Oreochromis niloticus: one gene and its partner. The protein of the gene in region 2 interacts with the protein of the main gene of each other region in a pairwise test. Links are inferred from orthologs where the notes say so. Each region holds a gene or a part of one and is shown on either strand. Other genes may lie near its edges.

Evidence for each region.
Region 1: the proteins of mos (region 2) and sec24c interact in binary tests that used the Homo sapiens proteins (3 or more experiments, as listed by UniProt). The two-hybrid records come from large-scale screens. The link is inferred for Oreochromis niloticus from reciprocal best matches to the Homo sapiens genes MOS and SEC24C.

Annotation. Positions count from the first base shown.
Region 1 is NC_031973.2:10,125,568-10,133,604, forward strand, and holds the start of sec24c (protein transport protein Sec24C), read right to left. Parts: upstream 3,029-8,037; 5' UTR 2,843-3,028; intron 837-2,842; 5' UTR 818-836; coding exon 658-817; intron 390-657; coding exon 309-389; intron 1-308. Other genes in the region: synaptopodin 2-like protein, read left to right, coding at 5,370-5,471. UniProt on the Homo sapiens protein: Component of the coat protein complex II (COPII) which promotes the formation of transport vesicles from the endoplasmic reticulum (ER).
Region 2 is NC_031974.2:34,870,332-34,878,254, reverse strand, and holds mos (proto-oncogene serine/threonine-protein kinase mos), read right to left. Parts: upstream 2,966-7,923; 5' UTR 2,162-2,965; coding exon 1,022-2,161; 3' UTR 569-1,021; downstream 1-568.

The DNA.
Region 1 (8,037 bases), on a different chromosome or scaffold from region 2:
AAAACCTTCTGTGTGCAAAAGGCAACAAATCAAAAGCAAAAGAAATAATGACCAGTGGATTCAAAGTCTAAATTTATGTCTCTCACATAACAGAGATATAATGTATATTTCTGGCCTACACAAAGGTTAGTGTGTAGTCGGCTGCTGTACTTGGAACGTCACTGGCATTAGTCTCAGAAAGATGTTCAATTATATGCTGAGAAAAATGACACAGCAGGAAGAATAATACCTGCAGGTACAGAGAGGATTTGATGATTGCAGGGCATATGAAGTGTGAAATGAGTGAGAAACAGAGATGAGCTGGTTACCTAAGTCAAGAGGAGAGGGGAGGTCAGAGACTGGGTTGGCTGCCAAAGCCTTAGAGGGAAAGCTTGTGAAAGGAGAGTAACCTGAAATAGAAGAGAAGAGGGGAAGGAGGCAAATACAAGAAGATGAAGAGAAGTGCATGAAGCAAAATGAAGGAAGGAGAGGGCAGCTGAAAATCCGATTAGTATGCTCAGGTGCTGTGCTTTGCTCACACATACATGATCATTCACATGGCAGGAGGCATGTAGGACACTCCAAGGTTATATCCCTCTGAATGCTTAAAGTACAGCCTACCTGAACTGCTGGATGTCTCACTCATGCGCACATTTTTTTAAACAAACTGCACTTTACCTTGCGGTGGAGCCCCAGGCTGATAGGCTGACGCAGGGCCATTGTAGGGTGCGTAGGGTGCTGGATAGCTCCCATCCAGGGGAGCGTAACCAGGCTGGCCATAACCAGGCTGGGGCTGGCCATATGGAGAGGCCATTGGCGTGTGCTGGTTTACATTCATCCTCAGTTCATCCCTAAATCTGGATGAAATTTTGAAATAACAATACAGTTAGTTACTTAGATGTCATAATTAAGGATTAAACTTGTTTAGCCTGTTTTCTGTGTGTGAACAATAATACAACCAGGGCACCTGTAGTGTGAAAGCCCCTGAAATAAGGCCAGTACTGATAAAGGCTGTTGTGAAAGTATTGTGTTTCTCTGAAACAAAGACACAGGCTCGTTCAAGGAGCAGGGAGAATCTGCCCACACAGCAGTGCTTGCACATACTGTTATAACATTTACTGACAACTGTCCTGTTTAAGAAAAAGTTTTTTCCAAAGCAGTTTAACCAGTAAGTCTAACTAAAATAACAAGCAAGATCTTAACATCCACATAAAACATAATGGATCCCAAATGAAGTTTTTGGCACCAAGCACCTGAACTAAAAAACAGGCAAACTGACACAGAAGAGCTTTGCCCCGCAGGACTCTAAACTCTGTAAATGTCTATAGTCTGACATAAATCCCACTGACTTATGACATTAACATTTCCTGGTTCAGTGACAACACCTTTATTGGCTTTTTATGTTTGACTTGGCCACACCCTCAGCCTTTTAAATTTTACACAATGTGCTACAAAAATTAAATAACATTAAATAAAAAGATTACAACCAAAAGAAAGTAAACAAACATTAATATCAAAGACTTATTGTTAAAATGACACAAAATGCAAAATTATTATGCAACTCTTTGGCAGCTTTAAAGATAGTATCAGATAATACCTGAGTATAGGTTTTACAAGTAATTATAGAGAAAGTGTATTGTAGACAACTAAAAGGATGAAAAACATAGTTATGACTAGTTATATCTTAAGTTTCTTGTGAAAGAAGCTTAAGAGCTAAAGATTGTATAGTTAGAAAACTAAAATAACCATCTAAGAAATGGGTTTTAGACGTTGTCAAGCTGGTAAATAAGCCAATAAAATGCATGTAAGCAACTTTTGTTGCTATACTGGGCTATCTGCATGATAGAAAGTCAATGTTGTCTTGCCATGACTTTCCTAAACAACTTATAAAATCTAATACTTAAAGTGATGAAAACTACACTAAAAATATCTCAAATGAGAAGAGCAGGGCAAGCGTGCAAACTAAGTCAATCATAAATCGACAATAACATAAAATAAAAACTAATTAAGGCAGTGAGAAGAAACTAAATGCTGAATTAGGAAAATCACCTTTATGAGCATAACTCCAACACATGTCAACTTTAACCCTGCTAACAGATGTGGGTGAGTGGTGTTTTTATTCACTTTTTTCCTGGAGACAGGCCTAAAATATAAGACATGAGTGATCAGTATCGTCTGACAGACAAACACGAGCTAAACGAGCGGGGCCATTGAATAATTCAGCAGTGCAGGTGCCACAGCCAGAAACAATCGCTGGAACCGTAACTGTTCTTTTACTACGTCGGGCCTACAGAGTGACCAACATCAATTCCAAGGTGCACTGCTAAAGGTTTGGGCTAGTAATTTTATCCAAACATCGGAGAACTTTTTAAAACTCACACAGAAACAGGGTGTTTGAGAATAAAAAACACGTGCCAGGTAGGGAAAAGACTGTTTTGTAGGAGGGAAGTGTGAAATCTGGCGAGTAGTAATGCCGCCGCATTACAATTAGCTCGCTAGCAATGCTAACATTAGCCAGACAACATGTCAACCAAGAGTCAAAAACAACTTGCCTCTCTTATTATACAGGTAACTGTTCTGACTCTAAGTAGGGGTCAAAGCAGGACACGTTCCTTATTTAACCAGACTCCAGCTACCCCAGCATGCTAACGTTAGCAACCACACAGCCTGAATCATGACAGCACATCAGCTGTGACCAAATGCTAAATGCTAAGTTAGCTCGTAATCTCCTAGCTTTTCCTCAGAGCGGTGCTAGCAGTGCCTTAGCATTAGCCAAGCATTAGCAAACGTAGCGAAATCCAAGATCCCCAGTGAAGCCGGGCGGGGATGGCAAAAAAGAAACCGTATCAAAACCTAAACCTACCTCCAAAGTGATGTAAATAGTAAGGCTGTCCTAGATTTGATGCAAATTGTGAAGCCCGGTGGCCGACAAACTAAGACGCCGATGTCGTCCCGGGGTGTTGCTCACTAATCCCTTCTCGGTATCAGAAGCGGACATTCAGCGGAACTGCTGCAGCGCTGTGCCACGTCCACATCCGGACTCCGCAAAGCGACTTCCTCCGAGAGAGCGCAGCAGTGGTTGCTGGAAGCTGTTCAGGCTGCTCTGTTAAGAGTTTTGGTTTCATTGTAAGAATTGGGGTTTGTTTTTTCACCTTCTCTTCGGGAGTTTGAGAAGGCAGCGGTGTAATTGGAATACGGTATCGGCAACCAACTATTTAACATGTAAAATGCCAGTCTTTTTAATCAAAGCATTGATAGTTATTAATAAAAGTTATTAAACAGGGGATGTTTCATGATATTTGTGGTGGCACAGAGGGGACCAAAAACCAGTGGAGGAAGGGTATTGCTGGGGTCAGCGTAATCAACCCTTACTAAAAAAAAGAGGCACTTTTGAGCAGTTTTTTCAGATAAGGTCAGATCAGAGGGAACTTCAGATGTCACAGCAGTATACATACAACACACAATAAATCCAATGCAGAAATAGAGATATAACAGAGAAAAAGAAATAAAGATATCAATATAAATATAGCAAGACATAAGTACTAATACATATGATTTCCAGAATTCTGTCACCGACCATCTCCTCCAGGGTGGTGAGTTTCATGCCGACAACTGACTTAACCTTCCTGAGGAGTTTATTCAGTCTCAATTTTACAATAAAATACAATAAAAATTTGTATGTAGTGGAAAAATATTTAAAAATATAAATGTATATTTCATTTTCATTTACATGTTTCCACATAAAATTTGTCCTTAGGACCCGCAACATACATGACAATATCTTATCATTAGGAATAACTGAATTTTCATTACAATAATACCAATAAATAAATAAAATAAAATAAAATGAAGTTTTATCCCATGGGGTTACATCTGGCATCTGGCATCTGGCAAATCTTTAAACTAGTGTAGAAAACCCTTTCCCTGATATAGACGCTGTATTATGGAACTATAGCACCTATATTATGTGCTAACATAGGTGCTGCAAAAGAGTTGCAATGCAAAATGTTGCACTGAAAAAGAGTTTCAGAATCTATTTATATTGAGTATTCTTTTTCCTCTTTGGTGGAATAAGTATTTTACCTACTTAGAAAGTAAAAGTAGCTATAAATGTACATAGTAATGGTATTGTTGTATCCGTAGGAGCTCTGCCTTCTGTCTTTTTTCAGTCCAAACCATATAATGTAGCAGGTTTCACTACCATCTTGTAAACCTTCCATTTCCCTCTTGCCAAGAGCCACTGTACTCCTTGTACAAGTCTGAAGCTTGGATACATCAGGAATGCCATTTGGTGTAAATCATCTTCGCTGTGGTACAGCCAGTAAATAAAAAAGAAAAAAAATAGATAAAGATCTCAGTAAAAACCTCAAAAAATGTAATACGACAAACCCCCAATCCATCAGTTTTTAAATGCCTGTCCTCTGTAGCATTTTGAGCATTCTGGCTAACAACAGACCATACAGAACATACAGAACATACACCAAAAAGTTCTCCTGATAGCCCATGCTACTCTTTTCAGGGGTGCTGTTTTTATCTTGCTTGGTTAGGAGTGTTGGCTATTCATCAAATAATCACAATGTGATATGAGGAAGCCATCTGAATATGATGCGGCCGACTTCCAGCGCCTCTAAATGTAAGCCAGAAGAAGCCAATACACTGTAGAACTGCCAAATCTGTCCACATTTTGAGCTTGCAAAATGCAGGACAATTTCTCTTTTTAATCATCTCAAATGGGTTTGCAATTTTGATCAGGTAGCCAAGTACAAATTCTTTAATCGTGTGCCTTCCTTTAGCGACGTCTGATGTGATTAAGCTTTAATACATCAGCCAAGCTCCTCATTTATTGGAATAATGCATTTTGTTCTGTAACAGTTTTCACAAAGTGCGACAGCACCAAACTTCTACTTCCTCAGAGCCAGAAGTCCCTTTAGCACCCACTCTGAAACTGTCAGATTGGATAGTCACCCATTAAGAAGACTAGTCCATGTGCTGCGGGTGCTGGTCAGGCTTGCTGAGCTGGGGGGGGTTGAAGAGGGAGTGGTGCTGATGGTTATTTCTGGAGGATATATCAGTAAGTGCCCCTTGCAGGACAGGGTGCTGGAGAGTGACATGGCAAGTGTTGAATCCAAGTCAGGACGAATGCACACACACATACACACAAGCACGCTACACACTTTTGCCCCTTCTCACCCTGCTGAGCTCCCACCCTCTGACACAGCATTCCAGCCTGAGCAGATGAAAGCCAGCCACCCTCTGTCTCCTCATGGGTGGAGTGACGGAAAGCAGTGAGATACCTATTGATACTCACAGAGTGTGAGGAACTGAAGAAGGGGAGAGCAGCATATACACCACCACACAGGCACACAGCAGGCTGTGAGCTGAGAGCAGGAATGGTAGCTGAGGAGATTGTGGTGTCTCTCTCAGGAGGAGCCCCGTGGGGTTTCAGACTCCAGGGAGGAGCTGAGCAGCAAAAACCTCTACAGGTGGCCAAGGTACAGTAGATCTGATATATGTGTATGCATGCAGTATGTTGTAGTTAAGTCTGCTGCCAAGGTAGTAATGTGAGTAGACGATTTGATGGAGATTGCAGCTGTTAACTGTAGGCTCAGGCCTCAGCGAGTCTTGTGGTCTGTAATCTGACCTGAAATACGAATAAATGAATCAGCTGCAGTAGAGTCACTAGAGATTTTACTTTCTGGTTCTTGTAGGTGTTTTTAGGAATTTGAACACCTAAATTAAGTCATGCTTGAAACTGTTTCAATGTGCTGTATTTTTGTCAGTAATTATGTTATTCTAATTAATTAAAACTGAACTAGAACTAGAAGCAAAAATACATTTCAGTTAACTGGAATTAACACAAAATCTAAACAAAACAAACTAAAACTATTCTGTGTACTTACAAAACTAACATCTTACATTTCAGCCTTTATCGATTTAGTGAAGTTCGTCAATACAACTACCATGAATTGATTGTGATTGTGAGTCAATGTTTGTATTTTTTGGAAAATATGAAACTTTGCCTCTAAAAAATAGCATTACTGTGACATAATAAACAAAAAACAAACAAACAAACAAACAAACAAACAAAAAAACTCCAGTATAAAAATGAAATCTAACATAATATTTTAATAAATAAGGAGATAAACTAAAGTGAGCAAATCCAGAAACTAAACTATATACTTTCTATTTTACATTTACTTGTTCTTGCCTAGAAAGGCAAGAATGACTTCCTTGATGGGCAAATTCATTTAAAAATGATTTTAATTAGAGTGTGATCTAATATAAACTTCTGAGCAAAAGTAATGTCCCTTCAAGTTCACACAGTTTTGACAGTTCAGGATTTTTCCTGGCTCCAAACTGGTTTTTGGGGAAAGAGGATTACCCGTCTCTATGAATGACTGTAAAAACTTTATTGAAATATGCATTTTCCTTTTGCTTCTAGTCATTTTACAAACTGTTTTGCTTGAGTTAAAACAACACAAAGAAACAAAACTAGTTTTAAAAAATGTAATAATTGCATTACAATACTTGACAGAGGGAAAGGGAATTCTGGCCACTGTTCCTGACACTCGTTTGGCTGTGGCCCAGTTCACTTTGTGCCTCACCTGTTTTGAGGGAATTAGTGGGTCAGTGAGCAGCGTGAACACATGTTTGGGGTTTGACTCGAGTTCCATCCTTGGATTTCTTTGAAACAGGTTCATATGTCATCCATGTATATGAGTACACGTCCGGCTATTGTGAACACACCTACAACAGGTAATGAACTTGCTTCATATTTTTCACTGTCACATATTTGTGTGACACATTAATCCATCTTTAAGCCTAAGAGATTTTTTTTTTCTGGCTGGGTTTCTCTAAAGGCTTTTTGCATCTCTGTTTATATTTGATGACAGTCCAGAATGTGCTCTCTAATGGGAAAAGCTATTCTGGAAAGCAGGAATGTGGACTCGCTCACACTGAAAGTCCATCATTCATCCACGAGCAGCCAAAACGTCTGATTCGGAAATGTGCTTCTGTTCATTAAAGACTTTCAAGTGGAAAAGGGATTTTGATGGGAGGTTGATCAGTGATGAGTGTGTGCTTCAGTCTGTTGGTGTGTTTATCTGTGGTTGGACATGCCTCAGATAAGCCCAATTGGGAATGGAGAGGACCAGAGGATCAGAATAGCTCATCGAAGAGGAGCTGGAAGCTGAGCATGGAAAAAGGACGACCTCTTGGTCACATAAAAAAATACAGGCACACACACACAAACACACACATTTTCTTTCCTTTTTAATTAATTCTACTTTTGCATGTCTGTGCCTGTGTGTGGTTTATCCATAATAGTAGCATCTGTCTTTCCCCCATTTGTGTAAGAATGTGGGTGATTTTCCTGCAAGGTTTTATTTCGGGTATGTGGGCGACATATGGTGAATGACAGGCATGCCCCATGGTCCAGACTGGTGAAGCAGCTGTTCAAACCCCCTCTTTCATGATGCTCACTTGAGCTGTGTGTGTACGTGTGTGTGTACATTGGCTGGAGATAAATAGCTTGTCCTTGCTTCGCTTGAATGACGACAGAGTTGGATTATTGGGTCAGGAGATACTGATAAAGGCAAAGGAGGCGCTTGAACACACTTAACATTTTTACCTTCAGCAGCGATAAAGTGTGTGTATCAGTGTGTTTATGTGAGGCTACAGATTGGATAGCTTTATCTTTTTCTTTTAGAGTTAATTATAATCTAGCAGACAAGAATAGTTGCCTTTCCATCTATACGATCTATCACTCCCCCAGTAGTGTCTACCCCCCAGTAGACATATTTCCTGAAGGATCCTATGACATCATCTCTTAGTGACCTTCAGCAACAGCTGCATGACTTCAGAAGTTAATTCCGATGCAGGGACGATAATGACTCCCGCTAAAGGAGAGCTGCATGTTGCAGAATGTTTTTGGTCACTTTTATATAGTCAGGCATAAAAAAAGAAGCTAACAAATACTTGACAGTGTTTCGGTGCCTGTGCAGGAGCAATCAAAGATTTTTATTAGGAAAAAACAATATAGTGACATACTAAAGCAGG
Region 2 (7,923 bases):
GATTGATGCTGTTAGTTTGAATCGCTCTTACAGAAGCACTTTTTAAAGTGGGCAACTGTGGCTCAGGATTAGAGTGGGTCTGTGGGTCAAAGTATCTTTGGTACCGAACCTCGTGTTGGCCCCGGGGCATCAGCTGAGCTGTGTGTGCTGATAGGCACCGGAAAAGAAACCTGTGATTGGGTGAATGAGGCTGGTAGTAAAAAGTGATGAGTGCCATAGATGTTCAGTCCATTTAGTCCAGGGTCTCAAACTCGCAGCCCACCTCAGCCTTACCTCCGGCCTGTACACTGATGTGAAGAAATCTAATGCAGTGTTTTTGTTAAATACGAACACAATGACAGCAGCAGTGCTGCCACGTGTCAGACAGACAGGACCAATGTGTTTAGTCTTGCTACACAACATTTGAAACGTACTACTTGAACACTAAAGTGTCCTCCAATGAGACGACAGTGTCAGCAGTGGCCCACGGCTCATTTCACTGCTTCAGTCTTCAGTTTGGTGGAATCTGTGTCGATGCCAAGCCTCCGACGAGCTGATGCCCTCTAATGATGTGAACACCAGACAAACGTGGCATAAAAAAGAATTTTAATGAAACCCATCACACCCAAATATCACATTACACACACTTTGATTCACAACACATTTCAGAAACATTTGGAAACAGTGTCAGTTGGATCAGGACGTTCAGTGGTCTGAGAGGAAGATCTTGTAGAAGCTGACTGAAATATCAAAAACAGTGTCCTGGTCCCACAGGACCGACCCGACAGCAGCACAGAAACAACTAAAACCAGCTTATTTTAATGCTACAATCTGAGGACTACGCACACTTATTATTTGCACAGTAAAAACATGATTGACATGTAGTCAGAGACAGCCAGCGTTTCCATGTGCGTCTGCAGAAAGGCACTTCCATGGTTTCCTCAGCTTTGACCTGGCCTAACGCACAGTACTCGTTTCCTGAAGGTGAACATATTCAAACCCACAGCTGTCCACACACCTGTGCGTAGCTTCGACGATCAAATCAGGTCTGCGGCTGCAGCTGCTCCAGGGACGACAGCAGCTCCTGGGCGCTGGGTCTGCAGGGGGGCGTTCCGTTCCAGCAGCGGCTCAGCAGAGCCCGAAACAGCCGCCCCGGCTCCGACCCGAACACCTGGTGGTCCTGAACAGAAGGCCGCAGATTGTGAGCCACCACCGCGTAGATGACGTGCTCCCTGTCGCCGGTGTAGGGCGGCTCTCTGGTGAGAAGCTGCCACAGAGTGATGCCGAAAGAAAAGATGTCCGCTTTAGGAGTCACCCTCTCGCCTCTGAGCAGCTCAGGGGCTCTGTGCGTGTACGTGCCACCCACGAGTGGCTGGTGGCTCGCAGCGCTGACCTCACAGCCAGGGTCCAGTTTGAGCGAACAGCCGAAATCTGCTATTTTGCACACGTCCTGGCTGGTTAGCAGCACGTTAGCTGGTTTAATGTCCAGATGCACGACGCCGTGGGAGTGGAGAAACCTCAGGCCGTGAACGATGTCCGAGGAGTACCTGACGCACCTGTCCTGTCCCAGCGGCTCCGTGCCACCGTAAATGACCTGCTGGAGGTTCCTTCTGCCCACGAACTCCATCAGTATAACCCCGATGCTGCCTTCATCTCCACACTGTGGCGGGACGCAGGTGGTGGCAGCTATTACGCGCACTATGTTCGCGTGGCGCAGGTGCGCCGCGTTCAGCTCGGCCCAGAAGCTCTGCTGGGACGCCAGCTTGTTCTTGGTTGACCTGTTGACCTTCTTCACCGCCACGGTCTCTCCGAAGTACTCCGCCTTGTAGACCGAGCCGAAGCCTCCCGAGCCCACGGGCTGCACGGAGCGCAGCTGCTTCCAGTGGATAACCGAGGACCAAAGCCGAGTGGCGACTCTGCCATGGAGCCGCTGAGCGGGCACTTGTAGGGTGGAGCCGTGCTTAGTCAGCGGGCTGCTGCAGGGCCCCGTGTCCAGAGAGGGGCAGAAGTCTTTGGGCAGCAGACGGGTCAGCGGGATGGGAGAAGGCATGGCACGCTGTGGACCATACTGCTCTGCACGCCGAACAGCTACTCTGCGCTCAGCTGAGGCTTTTACGCGCTCCGCACTGCCGCCTACTGTTCTGGAGGATGTAATGCTTCTGTTTGGGTTCACTGGGTTCATGCCGATGGTTCAACTCAGTTTACTCTATACAACAGGGCAGAGCCGGGTAAAAGGACGGCTTTGTGTGAACAACATCTGGGATAGTAAGCATAACAACATCTACGGTCATATATACGTCATGGCGAGCCGTGTGAGCTGGTAATGTGTGCGCAGTGTTTAAAGCTGCGGATGGAGAGCCCTCCCTGAACTGTCAGGGTGGACTGAGTGTGAGACTGGGGGAGGGAGCTCCACCGAGGAGCGTGGAGCTCACAGCCTGTCTGTTTCACTCTCTCTGACTTTTCCAGCATGCAAAAACAGATGCTCACTTTCTAACAGCCTGCTCACTGGTAACAAAGGAAAACATGTAACTGTTCATTACTGTGTTTTAATGCAAGCTACTGGAACCAGTCTGATGGGAAAAGATCTGTCTGAAATCTCTGTACTGCACTGTAGGCAGTGACACAATGCACACAGCTGATTATGAAATCTGCTGCATGTCTGTCACACACAAACCTTCAGAGTACGAGGTATTTTGTCATTTTCATGGGTGAGAGAGATTTTTCATGTTGTAAGAAAAGGAAACGTATTAAAAAGCTTAAAGCTTTGATTTGAATACATTTCTTACTAGCAAGCTAAAGCCATGTGATAGACCCCAGCCCCCCCGTGACCCTGATTTTAGGAGGATGATGACTGTTAAGAACAGTGATATCAAATATACATCAGTTTAGAATACAGCCATGAGTGTGGATTTAGACTTTAGTAAAGGCTAAAATATTACAGCACCTTAAATTCCTTAATGTCAGTGGTTCAAATTCATGTTTAATTAAAGGAGACATTACTAAAGCTGATGTCTTTTCCTGTGTTTGAACCATTCTTCTCATGTAGAAAGTCCTAAACGACTGGGCCCATCCCATCACAGACGAGTGGTTTCCAAAGCTCTCTACTTTAAAAGCACAGCATACTGAAGCTGTGCTAATATGATGGGGATTTAAAGTAAAACACAACTACTGCTGATAGTCACCAGTTTTTGTTGACATTGTAAGGCGAGCCCATTTTTACACAAAGATCACACCATTATGATGAAGACCTCATGTTATAGAGTGAAGATCAAAGTGTTAAAGTGGATTTTTGCATCTTCAGGAGTGTTTCAGAGAAGCAGTGAAAACAATGTTAAGAGTTACAGTGAGTTACACAGTGTAACAGTGTTTCAGTGTGTAACAGTAACAAAGTTCTCAGAGTGACACGTTGAAAACAGACGAGCTGGATTCTTCTCTGTTTGATTTCTTTTATTACATTGAATAAAACATTGGAGTTGTCAACTGCAGCTCTTCTATTATAGCAGCAACATATGTGAATGAAATCAGGTTATTCTGCCAGGCAATAAATAATCTGCTTCTTTGGATGATGTCAAAGCTGCAGGATTAACATTTATTTTACACAACCTATAAACACACACAGACGAGTGTGAGCTGTATATGTATTTGTGTGTTTAGGTGATACTTTGCCTATAAAAATACAACAGTAGTTTGTAAGATAAATGTAAAAGTAAAAAAAAGTAAAGTAAAATATGAAGAACATTAAGAATTTGCAACGAGTCGATCATCGTCACAGGATGGTCTTTTTAAATGTGGCTGGATGCAGCTCATTTACACTGCTATCAGTTTCCCAGCATCAGCGTAACCTCCCAACACGACTCAGTCTGTGGACGCTCACACGCAGGTGAGCGTGGGCGGGGTGGTGGTGGGGCTATATTAAAGGCAAAGACTACAAAAGTCACAGTACAAGAAAATATATGAAGCTATAAAGTACAACTAGGCACACACATACCAACTGTTCAGCTACACGGGATACTTTGTACAAACGATACGTCTGAAGAGATAGTAAGGAGGTCTGTAGCACCTTAAGGAGCTTTAGAAGTATGTTAGCAGCTTGATCCAATACCAAAATATATTGCAGTGTTTTTTCATAACATTCAATAAAGTTCACTGGTACCATTGAAGCTTATAAAGAAGTTTGAATTGCTAAAGGTCTGTGCCTCTCATTGAAGAGCATCTCCTGCCTCAGCACGTACCAGGACAGAGCGCACGCACACACGCGCACACACACACACACACACACACACACACACTCTCTCTAAAATACTTGTAATCAGCTTTGATCCACTGTTATTGCTTCTCTGTACCTGGAATCTGTCGTACAGTCCATAAGAGTTATACATCACATGTGTAGCTAGCTGCAGCTTTCAGACAGCGACCACGAGGAAATCAAGTAATGTATCACACCGAGGTGTAAAAATGACAGAAGAGGACACACTCATGGAGCTATTGGACACATCTTATTTTTGGACATCTAAACACTCTGTGACACAGTGATATTATTAAGTAGCTTCGTTTCAGCTTCACTACGGTGCATTCTGACTTAAACCAGCGTACCAACGGTCAAAGGAGACCAATTAAGTCCAAACAAAGCTGCAAAGCAAGAGCCCTCAATGAGAAACACAGAGCAATTGTGCAAGTAAAGCAAAAATGACACTTTATAGGAAAAACACTGTCAAAAATTGTACCTGCAAAAATAAAACATTTATATTGTATTTACATGTTATTGTTCTCTAAAAGAGCTAAATATAGAATCTATACATTTGTAATAAAAGACTCGATGCTGCAGGAAATAAACGCATCCCATTTACAAAAAGTGCTAATAAAAATAGCGGCTTGCTAACATCTCTTGTAAAACCACAAACATTCACAAGATCCAAAGAGCAAACTTCCATAAAGGTTGGGAACATTCAGAATTCAGTTCCACATTTCACACAACCTACAAAAATATGGTTTCCATTCGTGTTCATCTCTGGTCACTCACAAAGGAGACAGGGAACTTTGTGTCATTATTTTCAGAATTTTGGAGCTCAAAGAAGAAAAGTGAGGTAAATTATAACACTATTGGGTTATACAGGCATCAGACGAGTCACCACATGTGTGGAAATGCTAACCTATGTGGTGGAAGGGAAGTGACGACTCAATTTCTGTGAAATTCACATTTTCTGTAGAGTGCGCAGCCCAGTAGCTCTTCAAAGGGGATCAGGTGTCCAAACAGGTTCACTGGATGAAATAAGATTTGTTTATGGCAGTGACTGTCAGACCACTGCAGGCAGGGCATGGACACAGGTACATGGAGTCAAACTATACAAGAATGTGTTGACGCTATCGCACTAAATCTGATCTATTCACCTTCAGGTGCAGGTGTGACTGACGCTCGTGGAAGTGGTGAAAGCAACAAACATGAAACAGACTTGTCACTCTTTACTGTAACTGTTTGATGCCAGGGTTTAAAAAAAGACTTTAACCAAAACGAAAAATAATTCATATCCAGCTGCAAGAAATATGAAACTCTCTATATATACTGTCTCATTTACAACAGAAGCCACAGTGATGAGCATGAACCATCATTACTGACCTTGGGAACAGCAGTTTAAACAAGACTAAATGCTTGTTTAGTAGATTCTGTGTGGGATGGGAACACTTTCCCACCTGTCAGTTTGCTGTGGCCCAAACTTTGGTGACAGAGTAACATACAACCTAATATGGTTTGGATATGTCAATGTAGTCAAGGTCACAAATACACAGGCATTATTCAAAATACATACATTTCCCCCATTATCGGAAACATGTCCATGAAGAAGAAATCTTTATTCCAACGAAAACACAAAACCTCAGAGAAATTCTGTCCAAAGCACAAAGTCAAAGTGACGAGTGGTGACGTACCCTAACCCCACAGCCACGAGAAGTGCCGTCAAACTCGCATCAAAAGTAATCGCTCAGTGTTTCTCTGTCTACACATCACCACTGTAACTGGAACCAGTACGCCATGGGGTGTACGGCGCTTCCTTCATACTGGACACAAACATGGAGCCAACTGCCAGCTATGTTCCACACCATCAATGCATTCAGTTTCAGTAAGACATGAATGATTCCTGAATGAAACCAAGAATTACAGATGAATATGTCTGGCCACGTAAGTCTGCCAGCAGCACGAGTTCATGTTGTCACATAGTTACTGTGCGGTCTACAATCCTAAACCGTGATGCTTCAGTGTGTGTTTACAAGCTGGCACAAGCTGAGCTCTTATCCATTTATTGAGATCTTTAAGCATCTTTCACTCCAAATGTCAAGAGAACCAACAGCTAACATGGACTATAATGCATCACCTGTGTTTGATATATATGACTGGAACGCTTCTTGTTCATGCGAACAGCTGAGATCTGATGCTCATCTGAACAACATCACGCTGACTGAGAACGAGGTTTTAAATGCGCCCTGTGTGTAGGCTGATTTACGCACCTGGAACTGTCCATCTGAGGCAGAGTTACTACTCGCTGCCTGCCTTTACTGCTTCTGACCAAGCATCAACCACATCAGCCCATTCTGTGAGAAGTCATCCTTTTGATCAAAGAATTTAAAGAAACCACCTTTTAATAGTGAACAATTCAAAATCGTTATAATTAAAGATCCAGTAACACTCCATGTCTTAACATCTACCCCTCAAGACAATTTGACTTTCTTTTTCTAGTATTTGAAGTTTCTACATGAATGAAAACCACTGTGTGGTTACATGTTTTTTATATGACGATCTATGACGTCAAGGACCAGTGCTGTAAATCCTTTCATTTGAACTATCATTCTCATAGAGGAGCAGAACTGCTTCAGTCTACCATCCTGTAGGCAGATTTTGACCTCAGAGGGCAGGTTTTAGGAATAACGCAGTGCTATGTCAAAGAACTGAAAAGACTGTAAAGACCATTTAAGCACTGCAGTAAAATCCAACTGAGCAGTTTCCTTTGTACTTATAAACAGTATTTCAGTTATTTTCACACACTGTGTCATAGTAAACACAGCCACGTCTTCCAGGATTGTGTTTTAGTGCTCAGATATTCATAGATTTAGTCAGTGCAGACTAATGTATGACTAATATCTGATAATGCAGTTTTAGACAATTGCTTGACCATCAAACTGATCTATTTGTCAGCTGTAATTATTTTAAAGGTTGTCCAGGGGATGCTGGGTTTGCACAACACTGTGAAACAACGTTCCCTTCAAGTTTCACAAATTCAAAAATGCTCGATGACAACAGTCTTTTTAAAAATGGAATGACAGCCAGGATGTGACAAAGTAACAATAAAAACCAAAAAGCCTTCATGTCACAGTAAGTTCATTCAGAGTCCTGTTGTGTTGTATCAGCAGTGTGTTTAGCTCTCACCTGTGTCTGATGTCACTTTGTGTCCACGGGTAGAGCACATTGTAAAGGTTGCTTTGTTAACATTTTAAATGACTGAATTGGACCTTATTATTTGTAAGATGTGAGGATGAATGTCAGTCAAAGGGAAAAACATTAAAATGACTGCAGTTTTATGGTAACATTTGATACTCCCAGGATTTCTGTGTTGAATACTCAACATGTGGTCTGATCTCTCTGTATGTCATAATTATCAATCAGTCATGTTGTAGTGGTTAACATGTTCACTTACACATGAAACTGGTTTGAGACTGGGAGAAACCAGTCTCTGGTGGTCAAACCTTGCACAGTGGCCGTCCCAGATAAATGGAAAGGTTGTATCAGGCAGTGGATGCAGTGTGCCATTTGTGCCAAATGAAACATGTGGGTCCATCTGCTGTGGCAGCCCCCTGGGAAATAAGGAAGCAGCTGAAAATACTTGATGGAAATATTATCATGGTTTAGGGCCGTTTTGCCGCCTCAGGTCTTAGATACCCGATACTGAGGAAACATGG